Neurospora crassa OR74A: one gene and its partners. The protein of the gene in region 1 interacts with the protein of each later gene in a pairwise test. Links are inferred from orthologs where the notes say so. Each region holds a gene or a part of one and is shown in the gene's direction. Other genes may lie near its edges.

Region 1 (6,120 bases):
CCAGTCGATGGCTTCGAGTTTCCGGTGGATTGTTGGAATTTGCCAAAGTTATCTTTTAGGGGGGTCACGACGGATGACGGCGTAGAGATGAAGTAAAGAACGGCGATAACCTAACGTCATGGTTAGTGGGGTACCGGGAAAGCGAACAGCTACTATTGAGTGCAGAGCATTGAGCCAAGAAGTGTACCAGAGATGATCAGACTTACAAAAAAGGCAAGGAGGATGTAGCGCACGTAGCGTGCGCTGCCCGCCGCCATGTTGAAGGAATACGGACTGAATCGAGCCTAAAGTCAAAGTTTGTCGAGTGCAGTGGTGATTGTGTTTCCGAAAATGTTCGTGTTCACGGGTCCTGTGGGACAGGATGGACAATGGCTGAAGGCGAGCCACGGAAGGAAGCGACCCGGATCCCTCGTGAATCGCTGCTGCACGACAAGTCTTGAGATGTCCGGATCCCGGGGAGATGTCCGAGATGGAACTGCAGATGGCGAACACGGCCTCGGTGGTTGAAAGAGATAATTCAACCAGGAGAGAAGATGGCCAGGCTTGGATCCTGAAAAAGAAGTGAAGTTGAAAGAGGAAGAAGTTCCCTTGGAGGCGGGACGGGAGCCAAGTGTTGTTAGCTGTCAGGGTTCGAAGGCTCGGGCGCAGTCCTGCTAGGGCAGCCCACTGCAGCTTCGTATTGCCTGGTATTGTATGGATATAATGCGGAGGTTTGCTAGGCACATTAATTGGCACGTAGAGGTACAGAGGGGTGCCACGTCCGCGTATGCAAAGGGGTACCCGGGCCGTTGGTTGAGAAGAGTCTGGCACTTTTCTAGACTGTAAATACCCCTGGATACTTTGTTCTGATACTTGGGGACTTGGATATTAGAGGAATGTCTAGCATGGAGATGCTGGTATCTCAAGTGCTGTTCATGTTTCGGCCTCTTTAGAGGTAGTTAGGTGCGAACTAGCCTGTAATGAAAACATCCCAAAAGTGTCGGTATCTACCTACAACATCCTCAGCAACGTCCGCAAGTGGCCTAAATAATATCTACATACCTACCAGAAGCTATCGCATTCCCCGTTCCTGATGGTCGCTTGCGGTGCATTCCCCTGAGCACCTCAATGTTTCCGTCCGGCCAGGACCAAAAGATTGGCCGCGGGGGTAGGCGGCAGGGAAAGACATTAGGGTGCCCTCGGTGCCCCCACAGCTTCGTCGTCACCTGTATCCGCAGGTACCCCATTATTGCGGGCCGTGACGGTTCTAGCGTGGCCCTGTTAGTAAGGGACAAAAACCCCCTTGAGACGGGCGTCGTCAACTTCCAGGGGCACTACCTACCTCTACGACGACTTCAGTTCACATGTCGCATCCGTCAACGGAGGGGTATGTCTTGAGCTTCTTGATCCTTTTACCACGCTGAGAAGTGGCTGATTAGCTCATACTATGATACTTGGGTTAATATGATCTGCTGCCGGCCTGCTCCCTCCGCATTGCTCCTCCGATCGGAGTAGTTCTTCAAGATGGCGAAGAACACCGACTTGAGTGATGGCCATGATACCTCCCTCTCAAAAGAAACAACAGGGAAATACCAGGCCCCTGATATAATTCAAGTTCGACTGCATACTATGTACAGTAAAGTCACCTGTCAAGAAAACAGCCTTAAGATAGCCATGCCATGTTTGCCTCTGTCCATGTCCGCGCTTCCGCTTCACCTGCATCGGAATGGCGAATTCACATACTTAGAAGCACAGTCTAAACAGCTGCGTTTAGTCACGGATGTCACGGCAGCAAAATGGATGCCTGAGCTACTGTCCTTGCCCTTCAGCTTTCTTGCCAAAATCGATATCTCGAGCTTGAAATTTGGTTGTCGGCTTGGCGTTAAATGTTGACCATGAGGTTGCCGTCCCGTCCGGGTCTCATGTTGTAGCCTCCAGTTGATCACTGTTACGCATCACAACTAGCGGGCGGGTATCGCCGATTGGCTCATCGGATAAAACAACTTGCAAGACTGGAAGGATGGAATGGACATTCTTGCCGGCGGTTGAGGATCCCACAGCCCGGCAGGCAATGGGCCTCTGGTTGCCGCCCAACCGTGGCAATCACTCCCCCGGCCGCGGCCTTGGAAGTCCCATCGTCAGTCAACGAACGGCAAGACAGGAGGGTGGTGTGTCAAAGCGTCAGGCCTACCGCCGCCCGCCCACCTGTTGCCAGGCTCCATTGGCCCTCGGGGGCGATTGGTCCACAGCTCCCTGATCTGGCTTCTGAGTTGGAGTTGGCCTGACTTCATCCATCTGCGTCGGTCTCTTGTCGCCTTTTGCGCTGCCATCAAGCTACCACTCCGAGCAACCGCATCCACATCTTCACCGCGGCGCACCCAGTTGCGCTTCCGGTCGTTAGTTCACAGCCTTCTTTGCTTCTCTGTTTTAATATTTCCAAGCCGAGCGCTGAGTATTTGTTGCCGCCCTGACAAGCTCTGCTCCGCTCCTTTGCACGAGTCGCACCGCCGTCGACACGTCTCCTTTCCCTTCACGTCGCGCATCGCAGCATCATGGTGCTTGACCAAACCGATCATACCAACATCTTTACATATCGTTCTGTACGTTGTTCTTTGATTTCTCTACAGCGTGCTTGCAACCTCGGTATGGCAAGGTCATGGGATGAAAGTTGGGCTCCCATGTCCCAATTCTCCATCTTCCATGTCGTTGTTGTTGCCCCGCGCTTCAAGAGACAGCTCACCACCCCCAGCTAGGTGGAACATCCATCGAGTCGCCCCTCTGCTTGGCTCGGGCTGTTTGACCACTGGACCTTCAAGCCCTTCCTGTTTCCCCTTCCACCCAGAACTTCGTGAACCTGCGTCACGGCTGTTCCTTCTTTATACTTCTCGTCCCACTCACCAACCAGGGTCTCGTCTTTTGCTTTGCCCCTCATTTTCCTCTGTGCCCTTGCCAATCAGCCAAAGCTCAACATCGCACCCGGATTTGCGCCGCAACGATCTTTCTTCGCTCAACGTATACTGACCCTACAATAGTGATACCTCTGTAGAAATTTTCCATAAACCCAACAGGCATCGCCAATATGTCTTTCTTCAACTTCGACCAGTCTCGCCATAATACCGCCGCTCCCGGCTTCTCCCAGGCTCACGATCCCTTTGCCAGCCTAGCCAACCGGGACGAGGAAGCCGAAGAGATCGACTTCGAGGACACTTATGACGGCTTGGGTGACCAGCTGGATGAGACCGACGATGCCTTCAATGATGATACTTTTGGCGGCGATACTGGCGAGCCGGGTCCTGTAGGCAAAGACTTTGACTTCTTTGGCCACACCGCCAAGGTCGCGAACGTCATTGAAGAGGAAAATGTTCGTTTCAACCGCCAACAACCAGCTGCCAAGGCTCCCCAGCCTGTCGCGCAGCCATCGGCCTATACGCCCATCGCCGGACCCTCGTACAACTATTTCGCGCAGGCTCCAGTTAGACCTGCCAGGACCGGCTACGAAAAATACCACGAGCAGCCGATCGAGGATCTTCAGGTTGACGCTGCTCTCTGGGGTGTCGCACCCAAGAAGCAACCGCCGCCGCCTGCTCAACCTGCCGTCCCTAGCGCGCCGTCTGGGGGCCGCAAGATGCTGAGTCTTGAGGAGGTTGAGGCTCAGATGCGCGCCCAGGCTAAGGCGGCCACCCCATCTCCCGCTCCTCAGCATCAGCCCCATCAAATTCCACATGAACAGGCTTACCTCTACCAGCACCAAGCTCAGAACCAGCCGCAGGCTCACTTCCAAGCCGGTGTCGTTGAACCTCTGTACCATCAACCGCAGGGACATCCCATGACAATTCTTCAGCGGCCTCACTCGAAGCCTCCTACGCCAGCCCAGCCCTCTTCCCAACCGCCCGCTATTCAACAGCATCAGCAACCCGCTGTTCCTCAGCAGCCTACTCAGATCCTGCAGAACCCCAACCGTCTTTCAGGCGACGCGGCTAAGATCGGGCTGCCTGTTCACCCTACGCCTCCGTCCGGTCCTCAGTCCGCTCACCAGGGCCACAGGCAACAAGGCTCTCTTCCGCGACAGCCCCCTATGATTCTTCATCCTGCCCAGCTGGCTCAGCTCTCGGAGGAGGAAAAGGCTGCGTATCTTGAACAGGAAGCTAAGCGCGCCAAGCGCAACCACAAGATCTTCCAAATGTCTCGCGACAATGGTATCATGACGCCACAGGACAAGAATTTCATCACCCGGATCCAGCTTCAGCAGCTTGTCGCAGCCACTGGAAATCCCAATGAACACGGCACAGACGAGTCACTCGCCGAGGACTTTTACTATCAAGTCCATAGTCAGATCCAGGCTGGCCATCGCCAGCACCCCAGCCAGCCTCTGAACCAGTTCGCTCAGACTTATCTGTTTCAGACAGGAAGCCGTCAAGGAGGTATGCGCCGCCATAACAGGGGTCCTGAAAACCATATGCAGAGGATGGAACAACAGGTCCAGCGTGCTGTTGAGGCGGCCAAGAACAAGCCCAAGAATAAGCAGCTTGTTATTGAAGGTAGCTTGGGCAAGATTTCCTTCAGCAACGCCAAGACCCCGAAGCCGCTTCTCAACATCAAGCGTAACGACAGCGCCAGCGATGTGAAGAAGGCACCGCATCCTGTTAATGGCCGGGACAAGAAGGACGAACTGAGGGCCCTCGAGCTGGTATACACTACACTTATGAAGATGGAAGACCACGAACGCAACATGCCTATGGCGCCTGCCGAGGACGATCAAGAAGCTCTTGCCAAGGTCTTTGCATGGAGTAACGAGGGACAGGCGTTGAATGAGCAGCTTTGGAAGGCTCTGAGGGTGCAGGATCACGACCAGCCAGGCCGCATCCACCCCTTCATGGCCCTTCTCAGTTACAGTAAGGGCAAGAAAGCCATACCGCGCATCTTCCGTCACACGAACCACGAGCAAAGAATTACCATTTTCACACGCATTGTCGTGAATCTCGACCAACTCGACGTTGTCCGAGAAGCTCAGGTTACAACTGATGACATCCAGTTCAACGCCGCTATGCGTGAAAACATTGAGCTGTTCTCGGCTGCTATAGTAACCACGCTGTTCACGTTTATGAACGAACTCGGCCTCGATCTTGTTGCCGCCATCCTTGGTCTTGTGTGCACGCGCAACGTGGACGTCATCGCCAAGAGCAGAATTGGCGCGTCGATGCTTACCATGATTCTCAGTCGGGCGGAGCTTATCAAGCACAATGGCGGAGGCAGTGAACAGGATTGGCGTTCTTGGTAAGTTCCTCTATATTCATGGTATCATGAGACATGAACCAAATGCTAACTGTCTCTACAGGGACATGACCTACACTCAGTTCTTCAACATCCTCGAGCCCACTCTTCCGTACATTTTCCCCGGTAGCATTGCCACCGATCAGGATACCTACGTCTGGCAGCTTCTCGCCGCTATCGGTATCGGTGCCAGCCCTGACCAGCAGCAAAGACTTGTCATTGCTGTCAAGGATCGTGTCATGGACACCGTCAGCCTCGCCAAGACGTTGCCTCCAGCACTCGCAGCCGACCGTCTGCAGAACGTCAACCTCTTCATGCGGTCGATCGGCCTCGACGTTGAGCTGCTCCAGTAAGCAACTCGGCAATAACCCTACACACATTGACTTTGAAAGTCCGTTGCAAAAACTATCTGGGCGGGTGGTTTAAGCAACGACGATCATCATCATCATTATCGAAAAAAAGGAAAAGTTGCGTTGGTTGCATCGCGTTCGGTCAGCGATTGTTCTTGAAGAGTCCCTTGCATATATCGAGAGACTCGCTCATACTTTTAAGGCGGATCAAAAAAAGCAGCTTGGTGGAGGAACAGGAACCATGTATATGGGCCATTTCACAAGGAATTGTTTACCTTAATAAACATTTTGGCTTACCTACTACTGAAAGGTAAACTCCTGGGGCGGGAAGCAGGAGGAGTTTCTTCTTACCTACATTGCATCGCTGGGGAAAAGAAAAGAACTTGGCGGTTGGTTTCTATATAACTCGGCATTGCTGTATGGATGGATGGATGGATGGATGGATGGAGACAACTGTAGAATAGGGACCAAAAAAGCGGTCGGTCGGGTTGGGTTTTGCGAGGTCAAACATCATTGATCA
Region 2 (5,198 bases), on another chromosome or scaffold:
CCCCCGTCCCATTCACCCCACGCGCCTCAGCCTCCTCATACAACGCACACAGCATCTGCACGCCCTGCCACCTGAACTTCAACGTCTCCTCCGAAATCACCCCAGACCCAAAAATCTCCTCCTTCATCCGCTTCGGCTCAAACGACAGCCTACCCTTTTCCTTCTGAATAGCCACCAGAATGTATTGTGCGGCCGTGCTAGTCTTGATGCCGAGCAACGCGGCCAGAGCTTCGCAGTTCATCGACGGATTACGAGACCAGAGGTAATAGGCGCGCAGGTTGGCGACGGAGAGGGGGGATTTGGGGGCAAAGGTTTGTTTGCGGGAGATATGGGAGAGGAGGTAGTTCTGGGCCCAGAGGGTGGCTTCGGAGATGAGGGGGTCGATTGGTTTGGGTACTTTGGACTCTTTGGACTCGTTGGATTCTTTGGAGGTCCGTTTGCGTTTTGTGGATGTTGTTGAGGGTTCGGTGGTTTTCTTGCTTGTGCCATTCTTGCCGGTTTTGGTGGTGGCAGAGACAAAAGCGTCTTCGCCGCTGAGGGTCGTGCTCCCGTCTCCTTCGATTTCGACGTTGATATTGTCACCCACAGTGGAGAGGTAGTTGGCTGATAGAGTGGCGTCAGGCGCGGCCGTTACTTCCGAAAACTGTTCGTCTAATAAGCCGGCTTCTTCGAAGATGACGTCCGCGGCGAGCCTGATGGGCAGCTTGAGCTCGGCGGCGTACGGGAGGGGAGGAGTGGGGTTAAGTTGCTTTCGTTGGTGGTCCATCATGGCGAAGAGCTGTACGCCGGCGTAGGCGTCGGATCCTGAGTAGAGGATTTGGTCCATGTTCAGGGGCTTGGACCATTCACTTGTCCGGACTGCTCCTTTGAACATTGGCAACTGGAGGACCTCCTTTACCAATGTTGCCAACGGGACAAGGCGTCTGTTGACAAGCTTGTGCTCACCGGAAGCAGAGTACTTGACGAGCTTATACAAGTGAGAGAGCTCATAAATTCCCTTTGCTTCGATCCCGAGGAACGTTTTCAAACGGGTGCAGTCGCCCATGATCCAGACACCGGCTTTGACAACATCGGCGTCCTCGATGATTTGCTTGAGTAACGGAGAAGCAAGCTCATCCTTCCTCGGATAGAGCGAAATGTGAAAGATTCCAATACGCTTCTCCGAAGCAATCTGGATAACCGACACGTTTTGCCTCGGGCCGTGGCTCTCCTTTGCGCTGATTTCCCATTCCAAGTCAAGACCGAGAATCTTCTCATCCATGAAGTACTGCTTCAAGACCCTCTCAGTGGTGGTCGCACTTCTGCAGTAATGGACCTTGACCTTCTCGTTCATGTTTCCATCCTTGTCGGGCCCACGATAGAGGTTGTAAGTCCAGTAAGACTTTGGAGTGCCCTCGGCCGCCTTCTTCGCCTCCTTGAAGAGATCCTCGGACATGGTGAAGCTGAGTGGTGTAAACGGAGGCTTGAGAGAAGCATCCTCATCTTTCGACTCAACGTTCCCATCCTCGAGTATGAGTTGGAACTGTTCCTCCAGCCCTTCCTGTGCATCAACAAACTCCTGCCCCTGGGAGTCTAACGTCGTTCCATTCGCGTCAGGATTTCCCTGAGGTACACCTGTGGAGTTGAAGACACCATCGTGGTTGGGCGGAAGAACAGGTTCCGGGTTTGAGGCTGCTGACACCGCAGAGTCGCTGTGATATCTTGCCAAAGATGGCAGTTGCGGGTATCCAACGCTGCCGCGACTATCGCCAGCAAACGTAATGCCCCGGCTTGAATTCCACGTCTGATCTTTCCTCTCCATGGCGCCAAGATGTCTTGATTTGTGTAAAACCCTGGTCAGCCAAAAATATACGGAGAAGTAGTAAGGACCTGGAAGAGCCAGTGAACCTACACTGGATAACGGGATGTGGAAGGAACCGAGGATGAGGGCGAAGAAGCAAAGAAACGCCGCCGGCATTGCCTCAGAGTCAAGCTGGTGGTGCTGTTTACGGCGTTGGCACCGGCGCCGATGGCTTGTGGTATAGGGTGCGGGGACCTCATTATAGCGATGGATGGCAAGCGCAGATCACAAAGTTGCCGAGTGCGTGGGAGGTATGCGTGGTAGAGGTAGGTAGGTAGTAAGTAATGTTGCAGGTTGTCAAGGCCCAGAGAACTGCGCCATGACCTGTCGATTCGTTTGAATGCTGACAGAGGGGAACGAGACGAAAAGGTGTTTGGTGGTTTCAGGGCACTGATATGAATGTTGGTTCGGTCAAAGTGGGGGAACCAAGAGAAGAAGTCGGAGACGGAGTGGACGTTGAAACTTCAAGTTGAACAAATATTGGACCGAGAAATACCTTGTCACGGGCAACGTTGGCTGCTGGCAGGCAGAAACGCGAACGTATTTGGTTGCCTCCGAATACTGAAATCACAAACGAACTGTTTGCTTTGTTCACAAGGAAGGGTCGATGTGAACTAATTGATTCGGTTGCCACTGCAACAGCAGCGCTGTCACGACGTCCAGCCGCTGCCGAGTTGCTGCTGCTGAAGCCTAGGTAGATACCCCGTTTATTCTCATATGCATGGGTACAAGCATAAGCTGCGCCAAGAACGAATCCGAGTCCACGCTGATACTGTGGGAATTACTGATCTTTTTTCACTGTACAACAGCTTAGTACGTACGCCCTGTCGCCTTGTTGGCCTCACAATCGAAGCTCAGTGAACAGCCACTGAACGTCCCTTTCGACATCCAGACTTACCTAAAGACTCGACCATTCCACACCACATACAACATGGCCTCGCAATTACTTCCTCTCGGTGAGTGAGAGAGCTCATGCTGGGCACCACTACTTAGGTATCCAAGAATAAGACAGCTAACGTGGTTTTTTTCCCCAGAGCTCATCGACAAGTGTGTTGGTTCCCGCATCTGGGTTGTCATGAAGGGAGACAAGGGCACGTTATGCCATCCTAGCTGTCCCTGCTGGATTTTGACTTATCGATGGATGTGCTGACTGATGATGGAATGAAAACAGAGTTCGCTGGCACTCTTGTTGGTTTCGATGACTACGTTAGTAAGTAGCGGGCCTCTCCTCACCATCCCCTGTCTTCATATCGTCCCACGGAGCCTTATGCTAACTCACTTTCAAATAGACATGGTTTTGGAGGACGTCACTGAGTTGTACGACGCGTCCTACTCTGGAAGTAGTTCATGAAGGACATTACTAACTTCACTCCTGCTCGATCAGCGACTACTCCGGCAACCACACCAAGTTGAAGAAGATCCTGTTGAACGGCAACAACATCTGCATGGTGGGTCATCATCGTCATCAAAGCTCGCGTTTACAAACAACTAACAGCTGTGCTCAGTTGATTCCCGGTGGTGAAGGCCCAATTGCGGCATCTGCCTGATTTGAAGGCTTGAGAGGATACATGAGGCATGGCCGCGTTAGGAAGAAGCAATCATCATCAGCATATCACGAAATACGAATGGACGTTTCTTTGCCCTCTGTCGGTCACTTCAAGAAGAAGTCAATAATAATAGGTAATTCAGACTGATTCCAAAACACCTCCAAGGAAATTGCTGCCATACACAGCTCACATGAGGTAGGTTGAACTATAATCCTCCATCATATTTCATACTGTTTGTTTGACCCGACTTGACCAAAAAAAATTATCTTAGGCTAGCACGATCAGCAGTTCCTCTTAACCTTAACCAAGCGCTTTTGGATCACCTCTTCAATTGAGAAACAAAGCAAGAAAATGGCTGCCTGTTGTTGCAACTCACCTGATCTAGGAGCACCAGCAACATTGAATATCCAAACCCACCCCACCACCCAACCAGCCGTCCTTGCTCTCTTCCACAACCCATAACTACCAAACCAACATTCAACCACCACCACACTTCAAATAGCCTTAGCATCCAAAATCTTGCTCTTACTCTCCTTCGCCTTGACCAGCTCCTCCACCCACTTGTCCACCTCCGCCAACGCCCTTCTGGGGTCCTTCTTGCGCCTCAACAGAAAGCCCTGGATCTCCGCCGGACTGAGGATCTGGGATGCCGGGATTCTCAGGGAAAACTCCCTGGCGATCTTTTGGAGTTCTTGTCTAGTTAGGGGGGTAATGTGGAGAGGGACGGGACTTTCCGTCTTTTCTTCTGCTGGTTCTTGTTGTTTCCCCTTGTCTTTGGCTGTCGCCGCGGCGGCGGCGGTGATGATGGGAACAAGAGGAGGAGCAGCGGCGTTGTCCTCTTCGCCAATGACGGTTGCGTCACTAGAGCAACTGCTGATGGAGGACTTGCGGAGGTTGTTGTCGTCGAGGAGTTTGAGATCAACGATCTTGGGGTCTATGGGGGGCTGTTGTTGTTTTTCTTCATCCTTCTCAGCGGTGGTGCCGGTGCCTGTGCCGGTGCCATCCGGGGACGCAACCCCCGTGTGAGGAGAATGACCGACTGGAGGCAATGTAGTAGCTGCCGATGTGGTGCTAGCTGTGACCTTATTCCCAACCTGGGTAAATGTCACTGTGGCTGGGTTCACCACATCGGCTTCGTACATCCTCTCAAATAGCTCCCTGACTTGTTCCTGCGTGGCGTTGAGGAAAGCAATCTGGATGTCGACCCTGCCCGGTCGAAGTAGTGCTTCGTCTAGCTTCTCTGGCTTGTTGGTTGTCATGATGAGCACGCGGCCTTCATGCGAGGCAACGCCGTCGATGGCGTTGAGTAAACCTGATAGCGAAATGCCCCGTTCTCGGTCATACGGAGACGGCCGTCTGCGACCGTACTGTCTCCGGACCAAGTCCAGGTTATGAAGTGTAGTGGCAGCGAACGTCTTCGACATCCTTTTCCTCTTCTGCTTTTTCTTGTGCTTCTTCTCTTTGGCCGTCATGGGCTTCTTCTTCTTGTCAGTAGTGCTGCTAGATTCTTGTTTCGTTATTTTCTCTCCAGTTTCTCTGGCATCATCTGCAGAAGAGGTGGGCTTCTCTTCGCCCTCAGGGGCAGCAGGTTTCTGTTTCTCCTTTTCAGGAGTGGTATTCTTTTCGTCAGTAACCGTCTCATCTGCCTTTTCCTCGTCATTGCCCTCTTTAAGCATCTCCTTCAAGGCAGCCAACTTCTCCGCCACTTCCTTCTCAAGAGCCTCCTGCTCTGCCGTCACCTGCTTTCCCTTCCCTTTCCTCTTCTTCCTCGCCAACTTTCCCTCCAAAAATATCACCTCCAGTGCCCTCTT
Region 3 (5,433 bases), on another chromosome or scaffold:
GCCAGGCGGCGCTGGGCACTCTCTTTCGTCGTTGCAAACCGTTTACCACCGACCAATGCCCGAAGCTCTCGTCGTCAAAATCCGTTTCTTAATCATGTCTAGGCCGCCGTCCTGTTCAGCCACCGCGGCCGCCGCGTCCCTTTCTGCTGCTGGTCCGGCTCATCGCCACGCCGCCGTTGGCGCTAGACTGTCTGCTCATAGAGACACCCCCAAGCGCCTTAGCAGGAGACTGGTGATGAGACGGAGTACCCGAGCGGCCGCCCTTTGACGGGGTGCCGATACCGAGACCATTGATTGGCTCAGATCTTTCGGGCTCGACAGGCTCCTTGATCGGGGGAAGACCAAGGCGCTGCCTGAGTTCGTTCTCCGACGGCCGCTCGCCCTGGACAAATGACACAAATCTGCGGTCCTTGACCGGGAGCGACACCGATTGGAGAAGCTTCATGCTTCCATGCTCAGTCTGTAGATTGGCGCCCATGCCGTTAAGCTGGTCGTACTGCTTCAGGGCATGCATAACCATCAAGTCCCCGGTCACGTCGTCATTAGCCAGTGCTGCCGGTGTGTTAAACTCAGACTGCTTTGCATGGCCCTTGACGTATTGTGACGGGAAGGCAGGAGGCTGCTTAGGGTCCTGACTGCTAGTCAAACGCTCAAGGTTACCGGGGAAGTCGAAGTTAGCGAGCATCTCCAAGCCCATGAGTTTGTCGTCAAAGTTGGGATTGTTAGCCCCACTTTTGTTGCTGCGAGTAGCGTGCGAAACGTTCCTCTCCATCATCGGCGCCGACGGAGCCGACTCCGAGTCGAGATCATCAGGGTCGCCGCTACCGGAAACACTACCCTCGGGTGACGAGATAGGGCGCCCATAGTCGTCAAACCGTGGCTTATGGGTAAGAATGTATTTGTGCGCAGCCAAGGCCGACTGGTTGTAGGTCATTGACAATTCCTTGTCCGTGAACAGCTTGTCAATGCTGTAGATGGGGCCGGTGGTCTTGCGTTGGACCAGACGGTCGGTCTGCCATAGGGGTGTAGTGCTGTTGGGGTCGAGTGCACGGCGCTGTGGCGCTGGAGAACCGTCGTCATCATTCATGTTGCGCTTTCTTTTCTTGCTGTCCATGCCGTTCATCTCCTCCATTTCTCTCCGCAGGCGGGTGGCCCGCTTGCCGTGTGTGCCTCCGGGGCTGGCTGGGTTTGTGATGCTGAATTGGTTGGGGTGTAAGAGGAGTGCGGACGCATCGGCAATCTCGAGGGCCTCCTTCTCCTTGTTGAGCCGGTATTTTTTCGAAGTGATGATGTTGATCAGTCGGTCGCGGAGGGTCGAGGCAAGCGCCTTGTGTTCTCTGTTCGCAAGCTCCGTCTTATAGGCATGCGTATTGAGGTATTCGGCGATCTTCTTCTCGTAGTCAAACTGCGGAACCAAGAGTCAGCATTGGCACTTTGACTGGCGGAGCGTTGAACGGTTATGATCGGGAGACGTACTTTAAATTTGGTGAGAGCATAATCGCGTTGCTCTGCAAGATCCTGTACGTTCTCCATCCACTTGGCAAATTTGGGGCCAGCCATGTCAAGGAGGGATCGTGGACCACCGTCGGAGTCGGCGCCATTGAGCTGGTTGAGTCGTCTCTGATCCTCTTCGAAGCTGTCCAAAGGTCGATCGACATAGGGGTCGACTCGCATGACCAGACTGGTGTCAATCTGAATCTTTTGTAGTTGTTCGCGAAAGGCCTGGTCTCTGTCCTTGCTCCATTTGTCGGAAAGGGTTGCAATGCGTTCGGCAAGCATTTGGCGTCGCTTGTCTCTCTTAGACTGTGACTGTGACTGACCGGGAGGAGGAGAAGCGTTGGAGCGGCGATCAGGCCGCCCGGAAGGTGCGTCGGCCATGGTAACGTCGGTAGAAGCCATGGCGAAAGGGGGGTCCTCGTAAATATGTTTCTTGGTTGCCTGCTTTTTTATTGTATCCGGACCAGGTAAGACCAGGCGAGGCAAACCTCAAGGCGAGGCTGGTGGGCGGAAAAAAGAGAGCCCCAGTGCAGAGATTTGAGGCTAGAGGACGAGTAAGTCAAAGTCGACTGGACGACGGGAAGAGAGCTGCCCTCGTCCGCCGATGGACGGGCGCGCAGAATGGTTACAGCGCAAGGGCGAGAGAAAAGGAACGGCTTCTGGTGGTCGAAGCGGGTTTGGACATAGTCCTCATGGGATCTTTTGTGTATAATTGTCGACAGCGAGGGTACGTATGGTGCAGATGGAGAAATATGGAGTGGCAGAATGAAATGGGGTTGACAGCAGGTTGAGCCGAAGCAGAAGGACCGGAGAATGCAGTGCGGCACTACCTAGGTAGGTACAGGCAAACCAGCACAGGGAGGTCAGTGCAGGTCCCGTCGGCTCATTGTCCGGCCACCGGGTTGAATAATACTGTAGGTTGCTGCACAGCGCTTGGTTTCACCTTGCCCTGGCAGTGTTTACTGACTAGACATACAGTCCGGTGATCATGGAAGCTCCACCGCACAGGCGCTGTACCTAAGCGAGAGCAGTCTGCCGCAGGAAGCAGCGATAGGTTTGTATGAGCCGAGCTGATTGCTGAAGTGGATAAAGCTGAGATTCGCTCCGTCTTGTGGCTCAACCTGCGATGTGGCTGACTTGTATCATGTACATATACGCAAATTGCCTGCCGGAAGGAAGCTGGAATCATCCACTAAAAGCTTATGGCAGGAGCCGTGTAAGTAGAGTGGTAAAAAGATCTGTGCGACTCGGGCTGTCCTTCAAGGAACACACTTCTCGTCGCTGCCTCTCACCGTGAAAGTGGGGTGAACTGCACAAACAGCGGAGCAAGCCCAGGGCAGCCCAGGGCAGCAGCTATGTACTAAGGTAGGTATGTACGCAGTAGGTAGGTAGTAGTATGTGCGGGCAGGCAACGTCAGGGCGGGCAGCTGTCCCATCGCATCATTGCATCCCGCTTCCCATTCAACAACCTTGAAGACACCCCCCGAAACTTTACAGATGGACTAGAAGACATAGGCCATCTTCAGCACACAACCATGGAACACCTCTCGATAAACGATCAACCCCCACCGCCGCCCTTCCCTCAGGGCCCCGGCCAGCCTGGACCCGGCATGCCCCCGCCGGGACTCCTAGGAGGCGGCCGTCCTCCCCAGCCCCAGCAGTTGCCCGCGCAAATGTTCACCACAGCTGCCCAACTCCTCGACCTGACCGATAGTAAGAAGCAATATTGTGGACATATCTTTTGGACGGGAGGAACTAGGCTGACACGAGCGGCGGGGTACCAACAGAGAAGCTAATGGTAGCATTGCGCGACGGACGAAAGCTCACGGGCATCCTCCGCAGTTGGGATCAGTTTGGTATGCCTCCATGAACCTACCTCTCTCTTACAACACATGACCACCTATACACGCACGCACGAACGAGCACGAGTATGAAGAGGTAGCTGTGTTAACGCGAATCCACTTTTTTCCCACCATACTAGCCAACCTAGTACTACAACAGACAAAGGAGAGGATATTCGTGCCTCCAGGCACGCAGTCACCCACCCAGACCAGGGGGCTCTACGCCGACGTCGACCGGGGCCTCTTCGTTGTTCGCGGCGAGAACGTTCTCCTCATGGGCGAGATCGACCTTGACCGCGACGACGACCCGCCCCCGGGCTACGACCCTGCCGACCTCGAACTGGTGCAGACACTAGCCAAGCAGAAAAAGGCCGAGGAGAAGGCCAAGGAGAAGCGCAAGATCAAGAAGCTTTCCACCATTGGCTTCGAAGGGGAGAACGTAGGCGAGGCGCTTCTGTGAATGATATATGAATCACCCTCAAATTTTACAAATGGGACGGAAAGAAAGAGACGGGAGGAGAGACGACCAAAACTTTAACTTGTTATGATTTATACCTACATACCCCTGAAGTGGAAAGGGAGTGTCGAAGGAGGGAATGGCATGAGCGATTGGAAGCAGAATATTGTGAAATGCTATCCACTCAGCTGCGACTTCATACGAATGGAAGACCGCATGAAGCCTTACACCAAGGTCGGCCCAAGAAGACACCAAGTGTATTTTACCGTTAGAAAATTAGCAATTCGATGGATTGCCTCGAATCGAACCTGGCCACTACTGACTATGATCATGTTGGGAAAGGATAGCCCAGAGAGATATCCACGACTAACATTCTTTCCTAGGACTAGTCACATAGCCGGCACAAACCCATCGACTTCAACATCCTCCCACCCACCCGCCATCATCGATAACTACGCCGAGCTCGGGAAATGAGGCGTTGGCACTCATGACCAACCAACCGATTACCCAGCATCATCAAACTGAAAGATGATATGCAGCAAGTACTCAACCACCTGCTGCGGGGGTTGCGTTCCACATGCCAACAAAGGGGGGGTTGAACTTGTTTCGGTCGGAATAGGGAAATCCAATGTACCTCACGTTGATCCACTGAGGGTTCTGTATAAGCCGCTGGGAGATGTCGTTGTGGGCTGGGTTGGGCTGGCTGTAGGCCATCACTAGGTCTTTCGTAAGTCCACCACTATAAATCTGTGAAGTCGTCCATGAATGTATGGTTGGGCGTGGTGGGTAAACTGAAGTTGTACCAGCCCCATGTCGAGGGCGTGGCGTAGGGCTTGAAGGTCTGCAAACGCAAGAAAGAAGAAGGAGGGTAAGATGCCACAATTCCGGGTGCAAGCTCACTTGGGCTATCTCACGGTCATTGTCCTAGGCAAACCTTTATGATATACTTATCGGCGCAGTTTCAACTTGCTTGGGGCAAGTTACTTAATCTTGGCGGGCCCTTCTCCTCATCCTCATCTAATCGGGCACCACCCTAGGGCAAATCATGGATCGTCGACATGGTGAAGCCATTATTGGCCTGTCCACCCGATTGTCTGGGGGAAAGTGAGGGGAATAGCTGTCCGGGAGAAGGTAAAGTTGGACACATAAAAGACATTTAGCTATTTCTCATTGTCTCCGGTCGCCGTTGTCCCCAAGGTCGTTGATTGCGGGGTGCATTGGCGTCGTTGTGAACGAAGAAGCTCGGTGGGAGAACCTCGAGATGAATCTTCCACCATCCCGGTGCAACATGTGTTTTCAAACATGAACGATGGACCACCCAACGACAGCTGTACGGATAGTCCCGCACAAAGGAAGCCTCGGAGATGAACAGCCCCATGGGTAAGAGGAGTTGTTTGCCATGTGCGTGGCTGCTCTAGCGAGACCGGGAGTGCCGTCCACCCGCGATTCGAAACGTCCCATGCTCCACCGGATGGAGGCTGTGTGGAGATGTGTTTATGGAGAGAATCCATATCCAAACGGATCCTTTCAGCCGGTCCCATTGTCAAAAACCGCCGGCAACTGAACTCAAACAGGTATGGCAGTTTTCCGAAGCTCAAGGCATGCAACGGTCCTTGCGATGATCGATGGTAACAGTTC

The links. The genes of interacting proteins can lie anywhere in the genome.
Region 2: the proteins of NCU06540 (region 1) and NCU03766 interact in binary tests that used the Saccharomyces cerevisiae proteins (3 or more experiments, as listed by UniProt). The link is inferred for Neurospora crassa OR74A from reciprocal best matches to the Saccharomyces cerevisiae genes PAT1 and LSM5.
Region 3: the proteins of NCU06540 (region 1) and NCU01601 interact in binary tests that used the Saccharomyces cerevisiae proteins (3 or more experiments, as listed by UniProt). The link is inferred for Neurospora crassa OR74A from reciprocal best matches to the Saccharomyces cerevisiae genes PAT1 and LSM1.

The regions. Positions count from the first base shown.
Region 1 is NC_026504.1:1,577,001-1,583,120, reverse strand, and holds the start of NCU06540 (topisomerase II associated protein), read left to right. Parts: upstream 1-2,222; 5' UTR 2,223-2,579; intron 2,580-3,011; 5' UTR 3,012-3,058; coding exon 3,059-5,253; intron 5,254-5,314; coding exon 5,315-5,603; 3' UTR 5,604-6,120. Other genes in the region: NCU06541 (alpha-1,2 mannosyltransferase KTR1), read right to left, coding at 1-110, 207-257. UniProt on the Saccharomyces cerevisiae protein: Activator of decapping that functions as a general and active mechanism of translational repression and required for P-body formation. First decay factor recruited to mRNA, at a time when the mRNA is still associated with translation factors.
Region 2 is NC_026505.1:2,343,766-2,348,963, forward strand, and holds NCU03766 (small nuclear ribonucleoprotein), read left to right. Parts: upstream 1-2,657; 5' UTR 2,658-2,771; coding exon 2,772-2,796; intron 2,797-2,874; coding exon 2,875-2,931; intron 2,932-3,011; coding exon 3,012-3,050; intron 3,051-3,129; coding exon 3,130-3,157; intron 3,158-3,224; coding exon 3,225-3,288; intron 3,289-3,345; coding exon 3,346-3,387; 3' UTR 3,388-3,582; intron 3,583-3,658; 3' UTR 3,659-3,867; downstream 3,868-5,198. Other genes in the region: NCU03765 (3'-5' exonuclease/helicase), read right to left, coding at 1-1,814, 1,892-2,040; NCU03767 (mitochondrial chaperone bcs1), read right to left, coding at 3,882-5,198. UniProt on the Saccharomyces cerevisiae protein: Component of LSm protein complexes, which are involved in RNA processing and may function in a chaperone-like manner. Component of the cytoplasmic LSM1-LSM7 complex which is involved in mRNA degradation by activating the decapping step.
Region 3 is NC_026502.1:2,980,153-2,985,585, reverse strand, and holds NCU01601 (hypothetical protein), read left to right. Parts: upstream 1-2,768; 5' UTR 2,769-3,032; coding exon 3,033-3,210; intron 3,211-3,284; coding exon 3,285-3,353; intron 3,354-3,478; coding exon 3,479-3,798; 3' UTR 3,799-4,102; downstream 4,103-5,433. Other genes in the region: NCU01599 (hypothetical protein), read right to left, coding at 116-1,405, 1,477-1,899. UniProt on the Saccharomyces cerevisiae protein: Component of the cytoplasmic LSM1-LSM7 complex which is involved in mRNA degradation by activating the decapping step.